Linked DNA regions of Saccharomyces cerevisiae S288C. Each later gene encodes a partner of the first gene's protein in a complex. Each region holds a gene or a part of one and is shown in the gene's direction. Other genes may lie near its edges.

Evidence for each region.
Region 2: the proteins of POL30 (region 1) and RFC3 are in contact, whole or in part, in a crystal structure (PDB 1SXJ), measured with the Saccharomyces cerevisiae proteins. Residues at the interface, in NP_009645.1 of Saccharomyces cerevisiae: Val40 (codon at 2,081), Asp42 (codon at 2,087), Ser43 (codon at 2,090), Arg44 (codon at 2,093), Val45 (codon at 2,096), Leu46 (codon at 2,099), Phe125 (codon at 2,336), Lys127 (codon at 2,342), Glu129 (codon at 2,348), Lys210 (codon at 2,591), Tyr211 (codon at 2,594), Glu232 (codon at 2,657), Pro234 (codon at 2,663), Ala251 (codon at 2,714), Pro252 (codon at 2,717), Lys253 (codon at 2,720), Phe254 (codon at 2,723), Asn255 (codon at 2,726); in NP_014109.1 of Saccharomyces cerevisiae: Lys73 (codon at 1,936), Asn74 (codon at 1,939), Ser76 (codon at 1,945), Asn77 (codon at 1,948), Asn95 (codon at 2,002), Gln96 (codon at 2,005), Asp99 (codon at 2,014), Phe100 (codon at 2,017), Ala101 (codon at 2,020), Ser102 (codon at 2,023), Thr103 (codon at 2,026), Arg104 (codon at 2,029), Gln105 (codon at 2,032), Ile106 (codon at 2,035), Phe107 (codon at 2,038), Lys109 (codon at 2,044), Lys112 (codon at 2,053), Asn140 (codon at 2,137).
Region 3: the proteins of POL30 (region 1) and RFC4 are in contact, whole or in part, in a crystal structure (PDB 1SXJ), measured with the Saccharomyces cerevisiae proteins. Residues at the interface, in NP_009645.1 of Saccharomyces cerevisiae: Leu25 (codon at 2,036), Asp71 (codon at 2,174), Ser74 (codon at 2,183), Thr95 (codon at 2,246), Pro96 (codon at 2,249), Asp97 (codon at 2,252), Lys117 (codon at 2,312), Leu118 (codon at 2,315), Met119 (codon at 2,318), Asp120 (codon at 2,321); in NP_014547.1 of Saccharomyces cerevisiae: His95 (codon at 1,884), Gln98 (codon at 1,893), Lys99 (codon at 1,896), Lys100 (codon at 1,899), Leu101 (codon at 1,902), His102 (codon at 1,905).
Region 4: the proteins of POL30 (region 1) and RFC2 are in contact, whole or in part, in a cryo-EM structure (PDB 7TI8), measured with the Saccharomyces cerevisiae proteins. Residues at the interface, in NP_009645.1 of Saccharomyces cerevisiae: Leu25 (codon at 2,036), Asp93 (codon at 2,240), Thr95 (codon at 2,246), Pro96 (codon at 2,249), Asp97 (codon at 2,252), Lys117 (codon at 2,312), Leu118 (codon at 2,315), Met119 (codon at 2,318), Asp120 (codon at 2,321); in NP_012602.3 of Saccharomyces cerevisiae: Asn112 (codon at 2,121), Arg115 (codon at 2,130), Leu116 (codon at 2,133), Thr117 (codon at 2,136), Val118 (codon at 2,139), Ser119 (codon at 2,142), Lys120 (codon at 2,145), Val163 (codon at 2,274).

Annotation. Positions count from the first base shown.
Region 1 is NC_001134.8:424,443-427,729, reverse strand, and holds POL30 (proliferating cell nuclear antigen), read left to right. Parts: upstream 1-1,963; coding exon 1,964-2,740; downstream 2,741-3,287. Other genes in the region: acid phosphatase PHO3, read left to right, coding at 1-32; TIM12 (Tim12p), read left to right, coding at 246-575; YBR090C (uncharacterized protein), read left to right, coding at 672-856, 1,214-1,397; NHP6B (high-mobility group nucleosome-binding protein), read left to right, coding at 1,241-1,540; RFC5 (replication factor C subunit 5), read right to left, coding at 2,901-3,287. UniProt on the Saccharomyces cerevisiae protein: This protein is an auxiliary protein of DNA polymerase delta and is involved in the control of eukaryotic DNA replication by increasing the polymerase's processibility during elongation of the leading strand. Involved in DNA repair.
Region 2 is NC_001146.8:84,499-87,764, forward strand, and holds RFC3 (replication factor C subunit 3), read left to right. Parts: upstream 1-1,719; coding exon 1,720-2,742; downstream 2,743-3,266. Other genes in the region: MID1 (Mid1p), read right to left, coding at 1-1,317. UniProt on the Saccharomyces cerevisiae protein: Component of ATP-dependent clamp loader (RFC and RFC-like) complexes for DNA clamps, such as the POL30/PCNA homotrimer and the checkpoint clamp DDC1:MEC3:RAD17 complex.
Region 3 is NC_001147.6:141,084-144,156, reverse strand, and holds RFC4 (replication factor C subunit 4), read left to right. Parts: upstream 1-1,601; coding exon 1,602-2,573; downstream 2,574-3,073. Other genes in the region: TRM10 (tRNA (guanine(9)-N(1))-methyltransferase), read right to left, coding at 461-1,342; HMI1 (ATP-dependent 3'-5' DNA helicase), read left to right, coding at 2,810-3,073. UniProt on the Saccharomyces cerevisiae protein: Component of ATP-dependent clamp loader (RFC and RFC-like) complexes for DNA clamps, such as the POL30/PCNA homotrimer and the checkpoint clamp DDC1:MEC3:RAD17 complex.
Region 4 is NC_001142.9:565,856-569,268, forward strand, and holds RFC2 (replication factor C subunit 2), read left to right. Parts: upstream 1-1,787; coding exon 1,788-2,849; downstream 2,850-3,413. Other genes in the region: phosphatidylinositol kinase-related protein kinase TOR1, read left to right, coding at 1-973; YAE1 (Yae1p), read right to left, coding at 1,164-1,589; nucleoside triphosphate pyrophosphohydrolase HAM1, read right to left, coding at 2,951-3,413. UniProt on the Saccharomyces cerevisiae protein: Component of ATP-dependent clamp loader (RFC and RFC-like) complexes for DNA clamps, such as the POL30/PCNA homotrimer and the checkpoint clamp DDC1:MEC3:RAD17 complex.

The DNA of each region.
Region 1 (3,287 bases):
CTCACTACAACGATACCCTATTAAAACAATAAATTGTATAAATAAATAATATTGCAAATATAAATAAATACCCATCGATTCTGATCTTCTTTTATGTACTAGTAGGGTAACGAGTTTGTAGATTAGCGGCAGAATGAAAAGAAAAAAGTTAACTAAAAAGTAAGAACAGCAAAGTTGATTGTAGTCTATATTGCTGAAATAGATATCGGAGCTCCCGTATAATATTAAAGTGCACCAAGAAAAGGATGTCGTTCTTTTTAAATAGTCTAAGGGGCAACCAGGAGGTCTCGCAAGAGAAGCTAGACGTTGCAGGAGTGCAATTCGATGCGATGTGCTCGACTTTCAACAATATTCTCAGTACGTGTCTTGAGAAATGTATTCCGCATGAGGGCTTTGGTGAGCCTGATCTAACGAAAGGTGAGCAATGCTGCATAGACAGATGTGTGGCAAAGATGCATTACAGCAATCGCCTCATTGGAGGATTTGTACAAACACGAGGTTTCGGGCCAGAGAATCAGCTACGACATTATTCGCGATTTGTGGCCAAAGAAATAGCTGATGATTCCAAAAAATAGCTGTAAATATGAGGACTGTCTGTGCTGTTTGTATATAATAGTAACCTGCATATATAGCATTATAAGCTGTGTAGACAATTTTAGAAGTACATTTATATGGTACCCGCACCTGGGTCACGTGCATTCCCCTCACCCGTTTTTTTAGGTGGTGTCTTTTTTGTTTTTTTTTTTAGGTGGCGCGGCAACTATAAAGTACAGCAAGTGAGGTTGAGGCAATACTGGGAGTTTACACTATGGGAGACAGCTCCTAACACCAAGCAGAAAAACGACTTTTTCGCAAAGTATGTAAGGCGCTGGGTGAGCCCAGCGGACGAGGATGGGCTTAATAAGAACGTACAGTTTAGCACAGCTAGAACAGGATACAGCTAAGGGCAACTCTGCTTTTCGGGAGAAGTTAAAGAGGGGTAGACAATGATGGTAATCTTATAAACCGGCTACAATGAAGGTTGTAGCAGCAAGGAAGATGATATTTTAATACGGTTCAGGTGAAATGAAATAGCCGCCCATAACGGCATGCTCAAGTTGTAAGTCAGGACTCTAGCTTTCTACTGTAGTATCCTCTAAAGGACTGCTGTTCTGTGCACCCCCTTCCTTTGTTTATCATAGCGCACGACAAGAGTACTAACTAATTAACTTAGAACATTAACATATATAAAACTAGCGCTATGGCCGCAACTAAAGAAGCAAAGCAACCAAAGGAACCAAAGAAGAGGACCACCAGGAGAAAGAAGGATCCTAACGCCCCTAAGAGGGGCTTGTCAGCTTATATGTTCTTTGCTAATGAAAACAGAGACATTGTCCGTTCCGAGAATCCTGACGTAACTTTTGGCCAAGTAGGCAGAATATTGGGTGAGAGGTGGAAGGCCTTAACTGCTGAAGAAAAGCAACCCTATGAATCTAAGGCTCAAGCAGACAAGAAGAGATACGAATCTGAAAAGGAATTGTACAATGCTACACGTGCTTGATCTAACAACTCAATGTTCTCTACCTCCCATACAACGTACTTTTGAAACTTCAGAAAGAAGTTGAGTAGGTTGCATTATGTGTTATTATTATTACTATTATCATTATTTTACTTATATATCCTTCTTTTCTTTTATGTATTCTCTTCCTTTTTCGCACAACTTATGCTGATTCTTCAATATCTAATTATTTAGCATTTTTCTTCTCCATCCGACGCACCAAAACGCGAAACGCGTAACTTTTTTTTTTTGGATTTCAACTGATAGTTTTCGTACTTTGCTTCCTCTGGTACATAAAATTATATATAAGAAACACTTTTGCTTTAGCCTTCCTTTCTTTCCACTTGCACCTTTCACTTTCGCCGTCCTTTTTCACTCACAGCAACAAGCAGCAAGCACTAAGTACGCAGTCAAAAGAGAGAAAAAATGTTAGAAGCAAAATTTGAAGAAGCATCCCTTTTCAAGAGAATAATTGATGGTTTCAAAGATTGTGTCCAGTTGGTCAATTTCCAATGTAAAGAAGATGGTATCATTGCACAAGCTGTCGATGACTCAAGAGTTCTATTGGTCTCCTTGGAAATAGGTGTCGAAGCCTTCCAAGAATATAGATGTGACCATCCTGTTACGTTAGGTATGGATCTAACCTCACTAAGTAAAATCCTACGTTGTGGTAACAACACCGATACATTAACACTAATTGCTGACAACACACCGGATTCCATCATCTTATTATTTGAGGATACCAAGAAAGACCGTATAGCCGAATACTCTCTGAAATTGATGGATATCGATGCTGATTTCTTAAAGATTGAAGAATTACAGTACGACTCCACCCTGTCATTGCCATCTTCCGAATTCTCTAAAATTGTTCGTGACTTGTCCCAATTGAGTGATTCTATTAATATCATGATCACCAAAGAAACAATAAAGTTTGTAGCTGACGGTGATATCGGATCAGGTTCAGTCATAATAAAACCATTCGTGGATATGGAACATCCTGAAACAAGCATCAAACTTGAAATGGATCAACCTGTCGACTTGACGTTCGGAGCTAAATATTTATTGGACATCATTAAGGGCTCCTCCCTTTCTGATAGAGTTGGTATCAGGCTCTCCAGCGAAGCTCCTGCTTTATTCCAATTTGATTTGAAGAGTGGGTTCCTACAGTTTTTCTTGGCTCCTAAATTTAATGACGAAGAATAAATGTAAATTATCTATATAGTTGTATACTAAAAATAATAAACAAAAAAAAAACAGTAAAGTTTGTTTTAAATGAAAATAAATAACAAAGAAAATAAAGACTAAGATGCGTTAAATATCAGCTTTTTGTGTGACTTATACAGTATTTATGACATATCTTACATTAATCTAGACAGCACATAACTTTTGCTATGAACCCTTCCAAATGGAATATTGCTTTGTTTCCAAGTGATAATCTTTCGTCAAAAACACTTGAGTATTCAATTATGGACGATTTATTCGTGGTATTCAGGGTTTCCACATCCAACAAAGAAAACGTTAGTTCCTTTAAGATGATATTGGCAGGTATACAATGAGCTAGTAAATCGTATAGGACAGCTCTGCATTCGATTAAAGAATTGACAGATCTCTCTTTAACGATTTTCCTCGTTAATTTATGGATCACTATAATCCAATCTGGTTTTATTATAGGGCTACTGCTTTTCAATGCTAATTCGTTGTTCAGTGCCATAGATTCAAGCATTAATAGGGAGACTCGCAAGTTTCCATT
Region 2 (3,266 bases), on another chromosome or scaffold:
ACGATAAGCTTCGGCACAATCGTCACAAGTCATGACCGGAGAATATCTTGCGTCTTTGTCTGCGTCACAGGATATTAACTGTAGAGCTTTGCTAAAATTTGCATATAGTGCCTCTGCAATGTGGTCATATGTCTGCGCCATGAGAGTTTTATTACCCACAGAAAATGAGGATGTAGGAACAGAGTAAGCGACGTCACTGCAGAAGTCCAAACCAAAGATCAAAGAGCAGACATCGGTACTTCTTGTGGTAAAATAAACATGTGAAAATAAAATGCCGCCCACACTTGACAACCCATCACCATTACTGATTTTCTTTGTCAGGTACGCTACATAAGTTGTTGAGGCATTCAGTCCTGTCACGTAAAACATTTCTGTCACGCTACCACCATATTCTGTAATTTTTTTTTGAATCGCCAAGTCAGTACGCTCTAAAGGATTTGTACTATTTGACGTAACTGTTGCATTTGATGTATTTTGGGAAGACACTAAATATGGTCCATTTTTCACAGCACAAAGAGATAAATTATAGTTTTGGTTTAGTTGAACAGAATCTTCGTACGAGTAAACATACAGATCGTACAAGGATGGATCATATATTGAATAATTGTGATAAACTTTGGCGTCTGCGGTGACATTCCCCGTTGATAGTAATGCAGAATTCATATCAGTGTCCAGGACCTCTACCCAAGGCCTTACATCCCACTGAAAAACCAAATCGTTCTCAGAGATACTCAGTCTATATTCCCAATTTTCAGAGGCGTCGGAACTGGACAGAGGTTGCTCCGTAGTGGAATTCACTAGCTCAGCGACCACATAAAGATTTGAATACGTGGAGGTAGCGTTCGAGCTAGAAGACTGCACTGGACTGATGGCTAATGCTTGGATGTAGCCATCCTGAAAAACTGCACTTTGACCTATATTTGGGTTCTCTAAAACCGTTTCATTAAAAGAGTAGTATATTGTTAAATCCACATCTGATCTATTCATGGGCATTTGGCATATATTGCCGCTAATAAACATTAACACTTCATACGTGGGAGCAAACCCATAACCGGAGGCTTCTGCGTCAATGGTAAATACAAAACTGTCTTTTTTGCCCGCTGTTATGTTAGATAAGATCGGGGTCCATTCATAAATGCTATCCGAATTGATGATTGTTTGTTGACCAGTAGCCATAACGTTTTTCTCCCATCTATTTAGGCTGGGAAACTTTAAGGAAATATTCTTATTTGCGAAAGGATTGAAGTCTTGGAATAAACCGTGAATAGAAGTGGTAAATAGGCAGTAAACCACGAATAGTGCTTGCCACACTATCATCCTTAGAAATAATACTGCCGCTGGACAGAAATTGTAGTGTTACGGGTTTTACTGCAATTCAGTATGGCAGTTAAGCCAGTCAAGTATTTGAGAAATAGCCAAAACGGTACGTCAGCCGGTCGAAATTATTAGGGAAATTTTCCGCAACCAATGGCTCAGTTTCAGTAACCTGTTCTTGAGAAAACAACACGTTTACTTGTAGAGTTACTATTGCGGTCCGATGGCAGCGAAACTATATCATTATTATATTATGTATGGCTTCTCAATTTTGATCTTTTTTTTTTTTGGTCAGTACGCGATTTTGAAAGAAATGGAAAGAAGCTATAAAGAGCACAGGATAAATATCTTTTCAAAGCTTGAATAATTTTATAAAAGGTGTAGGAACAGGCCCGACATACAAGAATGTCGACAAGTACAGAGAAGAGGAGCAAAGAAAACCTTCCATGGGTTGAAAAATACAGACCCGAAACGTTGGACGAAGTGTACGGACAAAATGAGGTGATCACCACAGTTCGTAAATTTGTAGATGAAGGTAAATTGCCACATCTTCTATTCTATGGGCCTCCAGGTACCGGTAAAACTTCTACAATTGTTGCTTTGGCACGTGAGATATATGGTAAGAATTACTCGAACATGGTTTTGGAGCTGAATGCATCCGATGACAGAGGTATTGATGTGGTGAGGAATCAAATTAAAGACTTTGCCTCTACAAGACAAATCTTCTCTAAAGGGTTCAAGTTAATTATACTGGATGAAGCAGATGCCATGACCAATGCCGCACAAAATGCGTTGAGAAGAGTTATAGAACGGTACACCAAGAATACGCGGTTCTGTGTATTGGCCAATTATGCGCATAAACTTACACCTGCGTTATTGAGTAGGTGCACGAGATTCAGATTTCAGCCCTTGCCCCAAGAGGCCATTGAGCGTCGGATAGCCAACGTCTTGGTGCATGAGAAGCTGAAGTTGTCTCCTAATGCGGAGAAGGCCTTAATAGAACTTTCTAATGGGGATATGAGACGTGTGTTAAACGTTTTGCAGTCTTGCAAAGCTACTTTAGACAATCCCGACGAGGATGAGATCAGTGACGACGTTATCTATGAATGCTGTGGGGCACCCAGACCAAGTGACTTAAAGGCAGTATTGAAGTCGATACTGGAGGACGATTGGGGTACCGCCCACTACACACTTAATAAGGTACGCAGTGCCAAGGGTCTCGCGTTGATCGACCTAATCGAGGGCATAGTGAAGATACTGGAAGACTACGAACTTCAAAATGAGGAAACAAGAGTGCATTTGCTTACCAAACTGGCCGATATAGAGTACTCGATATCCAAGGGTGGCAACGACCAGATTCAGGGCAGCGCGGTCATTGGCGCCATCAAGGCCAGCTTCGAGAACGAAACTGTTAAAGCCAACGTATAATCGACGCAAATATGTATAGATACAATATGTACAGAACAACTGCATTGTGCAATATAACAACATAACACAACGCCCAGAACGAAATAAAAAAAATAAAAGAAATAGATGAAAGCATTTTCAATTTGCATACCGGAAACCGTAAATCAATTGGCGTCTAGCTAACAACTGAGAATGCGAATCGCCAAATTGTTACAGAAAGTAGCATTCCGTTACGTGATCTGTACTTTAACCTCTTGGACGTAAAGAATGGCAGAACTCTGGCTCTAGTGTTCTGCGAATGCCAGATCGGGAAATATTTCCCAAAAGGGCAACAGCGGCACGAACAAGAATTTCGTGTTAAAAATCGCGTCCGGCGCGAAATTTTTCGCGGAGGCATGCGACGCAAAAGCGACTCGAAATGTCGGGAGCCAAATGAGGCTACAAGGCTGTGGGCAGATTTTGGCGTTATTATGGAGAATAAAAGGAATGGTAGCTTCCATATAGCGATAGGAAAACATATATAAGGTCAATAGGCCTACATGGTA
Region 3 (3,073 bases), on another chromosome or scaffold:
CTTTCGTTAGCAGTACATATCATCGCGAAGACGATTAAAGTACGTAGTGAATAAAAAGACGATATGTGAAAAATTGCAATCCGGGTAAAAATAAAAGAGTCATTAAGAGCAAAAATGACCATATTAGAGAATTTACAGGTAAAACACATACAACATCAAAGCAAAATAAGCAAAGAGAAATAAGAAGTATCCTCCCACGGCCCTACATTAGATTTGGACCTCTCGGACACTAAGATTGGTGTTGTTAATATTAAAAAGGGAATGCCATTTAGATTTCGAGTGGAGCCAGTTTCGGCGGCTAATGTCCAAGTACTATGATAAGCATAAACACCCTTTGAAGAACTACTACCAGTTGCGCATGTTTAACCCGTATCTCTGACATCAATATACACCTATTGTAGCTACGGAGACTATTACTATTTTGCTATTCAGTTACTAATAATACTACAGTGATGGCTGCCTATGTGTCCTTTGGAGCTGGCGAAGAGCTTGCGGATTTTGCTTCCGCATCCAGCTTTCTGGGTGGTAAAACGCTTTCAAAGGCATTTTTCCAGTTATGGTCATCAAAGTATTTCAGCATGAGTTGCACGACGTGCGTTGTCGTCAACACTCTTCTGCCTTCGAGATTGATGTACTCGTCAATGGGCAATCTTCGCGTAGGAATGCCCATCTTTTGGGCCTTCTTCAGACACAATTCTTTATAACGATTCTTGTCTACAATGCCGCCAACAATGTATCGCATCCCGGGTTCCAGCTTCTCCAGCTTTTCCTCTGTATCGGCCGTTAAATACACTATTTTGTCCTTACTTATATGCTCATCTCCAAACATGATTTTGTCGTCTGGTAGGAATTTAAAATGGTTCCAGTTTTCATAATTGGTATTTTTCAGAGTAGTTTCAAACCTTTGCTTTAGTCTTTTGTCGAATGGGGCCACCTTTATTTCTGCAAAATGGTTCGCCCTTCTATTCGCGGAGTATGCCCTGGTGACCTGGTTAGACAAGCTTACTATTTCCTTGTCGTTCATTAACTCATCAAAAGAACAGTCAAGTATGATCTCTATCCCAGAATCAGTCTGATTCACATTGATACGAGGCTCTCTAATCAATTCCTGCGGGACCTCTTCTCCCCTGTCAATGTATTCTTGAATCTTCGCACTTCTTTCATGGCGAAGTCTCTTCTTCTTTACACGGCGTTCCGCATTGTATTTGGCTTTATTCTCCTCCCATCTCTGTCTTTTACACATTTTTTTCCATTGCTTTTTAGACATGCCTTCTGGCACAGGCGGTAAAGGTGGTGTTCTTTTCACCTTTTCCTCGTTCTGGTTTATCTCATCATTGGACATGTTGTTTTGCCTGCAGATTGACACTTAATTATTTACCTTGAAAGCTTTACGCTATATTAAACATCACCATCTCTCTTAAAGACAATGAAAATTTTTCATTACCACATCACACTGTTAGATTAAACGCGTTTTTTCTTGACAAAAAGGTGGGAAAACCAACCACATATTTTAAATACTGTAAAATAGTAGCATTTATAAATCTGATTGGATCTATTATAACATTGCAGAGCTTCCCAGAAGATATAAAAAGTCCCTTATAATGTCCAAAACTTTATCTTTGCAACTTCCATGGGTTGAGAAATACCGTCCCCAAGTTTTATCTGATATAGTCGGTAATAAAGAGACCATTGATAGACTTCAGCAAATCGCTAAAGATGGTAACATGCCCCATATGATCATATCAGGTATGCCAGGTATAGGTAAGACCACTTCGGTACATTGCCTTGCTCACGAGCTCCTTGGCCGCTCTTATGCTGACGGTGTTTTAGAGTTGAACGCTTCAGATGACAGAGGTATTGATGTCGTCAGAAACCAAATAAAACATTTTGCCCAGAAGAAACTACATTTGCCTCCAGGGAAACATAAAATCGTTATTCTTGATGAGGCGGATTCCATGACTGCTGGTGCTCAGCAAGCGTTGAGAAGGACCATGGAGCTATATTCGAACTCTACAAGGTTTGCATTTGCTTGTAATCAATCAAACAAGATCATTGAGCCGCTGCAAAGTAGATGTGCGATTTTGAGGTATTCTAAACTATCCGATGAAGACGTTCTAAAACGTCTTTTACAAATCATAAAGCTAGAGGATGTTAAGTATACAAATGATGGGTTAGAAGCAATCATTTTTACAGCGGAGGGTGACATGAGACAGGCCATAAACAATCTACAAAGTACAGTAGCAGGACACGGTTTAGTGAACGCAGACAATGTCTTCAAAATTGTTGATTCTCCTCACCCTCTAATAGTGAAGAAAATGTTACTAGCCTCCAACCTAGAAGATTCAATTCAAATCTTAAGAACAGATCTTTGGAAAAAGGGTTATTCCTCGATTGATATCGTCACAACATCTTTCCGCGTTACCAAAAACTTAGCACAAGTGAAAGAATCAGTAAGATTGGAAATGATAAAAGAAATCGGTTTGACCCATATGAGAATTCTGGAGGGTGTTGGAACGTACTTGCAACTGGCTAGTATGTTAGCGAAAATTCATAAACTAAATAATAAAGCCTGATTTAAATATCCGAAAACTATAAAAAAAACTCCCATATTAGTGCATTACTTTAAATTCTACTTCTTTGTCTTGTCTCTTCCCTTGTGATGTGTCAGAATTTTTTTTTTTTTTTCATTTTTGCACAATTTAAGCTTTAAAGTTGTTTGTTGATCAAAACTTACAACTCGCAGTGCAGTTACATAGTCATAATATGTAGAAAAAATATAGAGAAGGTATACGTCGTTCGTTGAAGACAGATGGACAAGCTAACTCCATCTCAATGGAAGGTAATAAATAAGTCATATGAACCAGCGTCTACGATAAAAGTCATTGCGGGCCCAGGCTCAGGAAAAACGCTAACGCTACTATATAAAGTACTACATTTAATTACTGTGGAGAATATTAAGCCTGAAGAAATACTTATATTTTCGTTAACAAACAAAGCAGTTGATAGTATAATAGAAAATTTACTGTCCATTTTCGAAAACTCGCATACAAATAAGGAAATTGTCCATCAGATT
Region 4 (3,413 bases), on another chromosome or scaffold:
GAATGATTCAGAGTGTTTCAAGAGACATTTGGATATCCAACAATACCCGGCTATTCCATTGTCGCCTAAATCTGGTTTACTAGGATGGGTACCAAATAGTGACACATTCCACGTTTTGATCAGAGAACACCGTGATGCCAAAAAAATTCCGTTGAACATTGAACATTGGGTTATGTTACAAATGGCCCCCGATTATGAGAATTTGACTCTTTTACAAAAAATTGAAGTATTCACGTACGCTTTAGATAATACAAAAGGCCAAGACCTTTATAAAATATTATGGTTAAAGAGTAGGTCGTCAGAGACATGGCTAGAACGTAGAACAACTTATACGAGATCTTTAGCAGTTATGTCCATGACTGGTTATATTCTGGGACTAGGTGATCGCCATCCAAGCAACCTGATGCTAGATAGAATCACCGGTAAAGTTATCCACATTGATTTCGGCGATTGTTTTGAAGCTGCCATCTTAAGAGAAAAGTATCCAGAAAAAGTGCCATTTAGACTAACTAGGATGTTAACATACGCAATGGAAGTTAGTGGAATTGAAGGCAGTTTCCGAATTACTTGTGAAAATGTCATGAGAGTCTTAAGAGATAATAAAGAATCATTAATGGCGATCTTGGAAGCTTTTGCGCTTGATCCTTTGATCCATTGGGGATTTGATTTACCGCCACAAAAACTTACTGAGCAAACTGGAATTCCTTTGCCGTTGATTAATCCTAGTGAATTATTAAGGAAGGGGGCAATTACTGTCGAAGAAGCGGCAAATATGGAAGCAGAACAACAAAATGAGACCAAAAACGCCAGAGCAATGCTTGTTTTGAGACGTATTACAGATAAATTAACGGGCAATGATATCAAGAGGTTCAATGAATTAGACGTCCCTGAGCAGGTTGATAAACTGATCCAACAAGCCACTTCTATTGAAAGGTTATGTCAACATTATATTGGATGGTGCCCATTCTGGTGACTGCGGTGTCATTTTTCATTTCGTGCTTTGTTTACTATTTATTTTTTTTGTATTACGCATTTGTATACGTGTGCAAGTATTGTGTATTATTATTATTATTATCATTATTTTTGTAATATCTCGTCATTATGTGAAATGAAGGATGATATAAGGTACATAAATTGTGAAATCAACTCCATTTAAAACAACTTTATTGGATAGATGGCACATGGTACTTTTCACAATAGGTATTGGCAATATCAGTCCATTTTGTTATGAGCGGATGTTTTTCTTGCAAGTCAAAGTTTGGATCAAATATGGACTTACTAAGTACTTTGTTAATGCGTAATTCTTTTTGAGCATCAATATATGCCTTACTGAGGTCCTCATCTTCATCACCAAAACGTGTTCGTAGGCCAAGTAAAATCCCCATAATTATGCCAACTTGTTTCCCTAATTTAGCGCCCGTTGGGAAACCATCATTGAAACCCTCTTGCAGCTTTTCTTCTTTAGAACTCACTATTCCGTCCAAGTACCCCCTCTTGCTATGATTCTCTCTTAACTTCACTAAATCTGGAGATCGTTCAGTTTCGACATCACTGTCTGATGCCCATACATCGTCCCAAGTATTCGACATCTCTATATACTATTGTAACACTGTTCCTTTTTTGTTCTCTTCTATCAAAAACCTTTCTCATCGTTATTTTTCACTCTTTTACTTCGCGTATTTCAAAGCAATCAGGAAGTAACTCAAGCGAACAAGTCAATGCTATAAGAGAAGTAAAATAGAGAGACAGCGAGAAATACTGGGGGAAAGTATTGGCAATCACTTGAGATGTTTGAAGGGTTTGGTCCAAATAAAAAGCGTAAGATATCAAAGTTAGCCGCAGAGCAATCATTGGCACAACAACCCTGGGTTGAGAAATACAGGCCCAAAAACCTAGATGAAGTGACAGCTCAAGATCATGCCGTTACTGTTTTGAAGAAAACCTTAAAGTCAGCTAATCTACCACATATGTTGTTTTATGGTCCCCCAGGAACTGGTAAAACGTCTACCATTTTAGCGCTAACAAAAGAATTATATGGACCCGACTTGATGAAATCAAGAATATTGGAGTTGAACGCTTCTGACGAACGTGGTATCTCTATTGTAAGAGAAAAGGTAAAAAATTTTGCAAGATTGACTGTATCCAAGCCTAGCAAACATGACTTGGAGAACTATCCGTGCCCACCGTATAAGATCATTATTCTCGATGAGGCCGATTCAATGACTGCCGATGCACAGAGTGCATTACGTAGAACAATGGAAACCTATTCAGGAGTAACAAGATTCTGTTTGATTTGTAATTATGTGACAAGAATTATTGACCCGCTAGCGTCCCGTTGTTCCAAATTTAGATTCAAAGCCCTAGACGCAAGTAATGCCATTGACCGTTTGAGGTTTATCAGCGAACAAGAAAATGTTAAATGTGATGATGGAGTTTTGGAAAGGATCTTGGACATTTCGGCAGGTGACTTGAGAAGAGGCATTACATTATTACAATCCGCTTCCAAGGGGGCGCAATACTTGGGTGATGGTAAAAACATAACTTCTACCCAAGTGGAAGAATTAGCTGGTGTGGTACCTCATGACATTCTAATAGAAATTGTTGAAAAAGTCAAAAGTGGTGATTTTGATGAGATTAAGAAATACGTCAATACGTTTATGAAAAGCGGTTGGTCTGCTGCGTCAGTAGTTAACCAACTACATGAATATTACATCACCAACGATAACTTTGATACGAACTTCAAAAATCAAATATCTTGGTTGCTGTTTACTACGGATTCCAGATTAAACAACGGAACGAACGAGCACATCCAATTATTAAACTTATTGGTTAAAATATCCCAACTCTAATATACAGGCATCTTTATATAATTGAATATAGAGGCGACATAAAGTAAGAATAAAAAAAAAAAAATCTATCCATAATTCCTCTTATCTTCTCAGCACATCACCTAAAAGTCATTTTGATACAAGTACTCTTTAAACTGAGCGAAGGCTTTACCACGATGAGAAATAGCATTCTTTGCGTCTTTGCTCATCTCTGCGTAAGTCAGTCCATGACTATCAAAAGGTTCAAAAATTGAATCCCAGCCGAATGTAGTGGGTCCCCGGCTTGGAACGATCTTGCCTCTTGTAATACCTTGAAAGAAGTGATATTCACCCCGAGAATCAGCAAAACAAATGGTGGTAACTGCTTCAGCGTTTTTATTTTCAAAGGGTTCCAACATTTTCACAATTTTTTCCAATCCCATGCTCTTTAAAAACCATTTTATATAAGCACCTGGTAGACCGTTAAATTCGTCAAATCTCAACGCAGTGTCTTCCACAAACACTGGCTTACCCTTACCCAAGGCCGCAACAGCTTGCTTTCCCTTAGCTAACGCAATGGCATTCAGATCCGTGTCCTGCAATTCT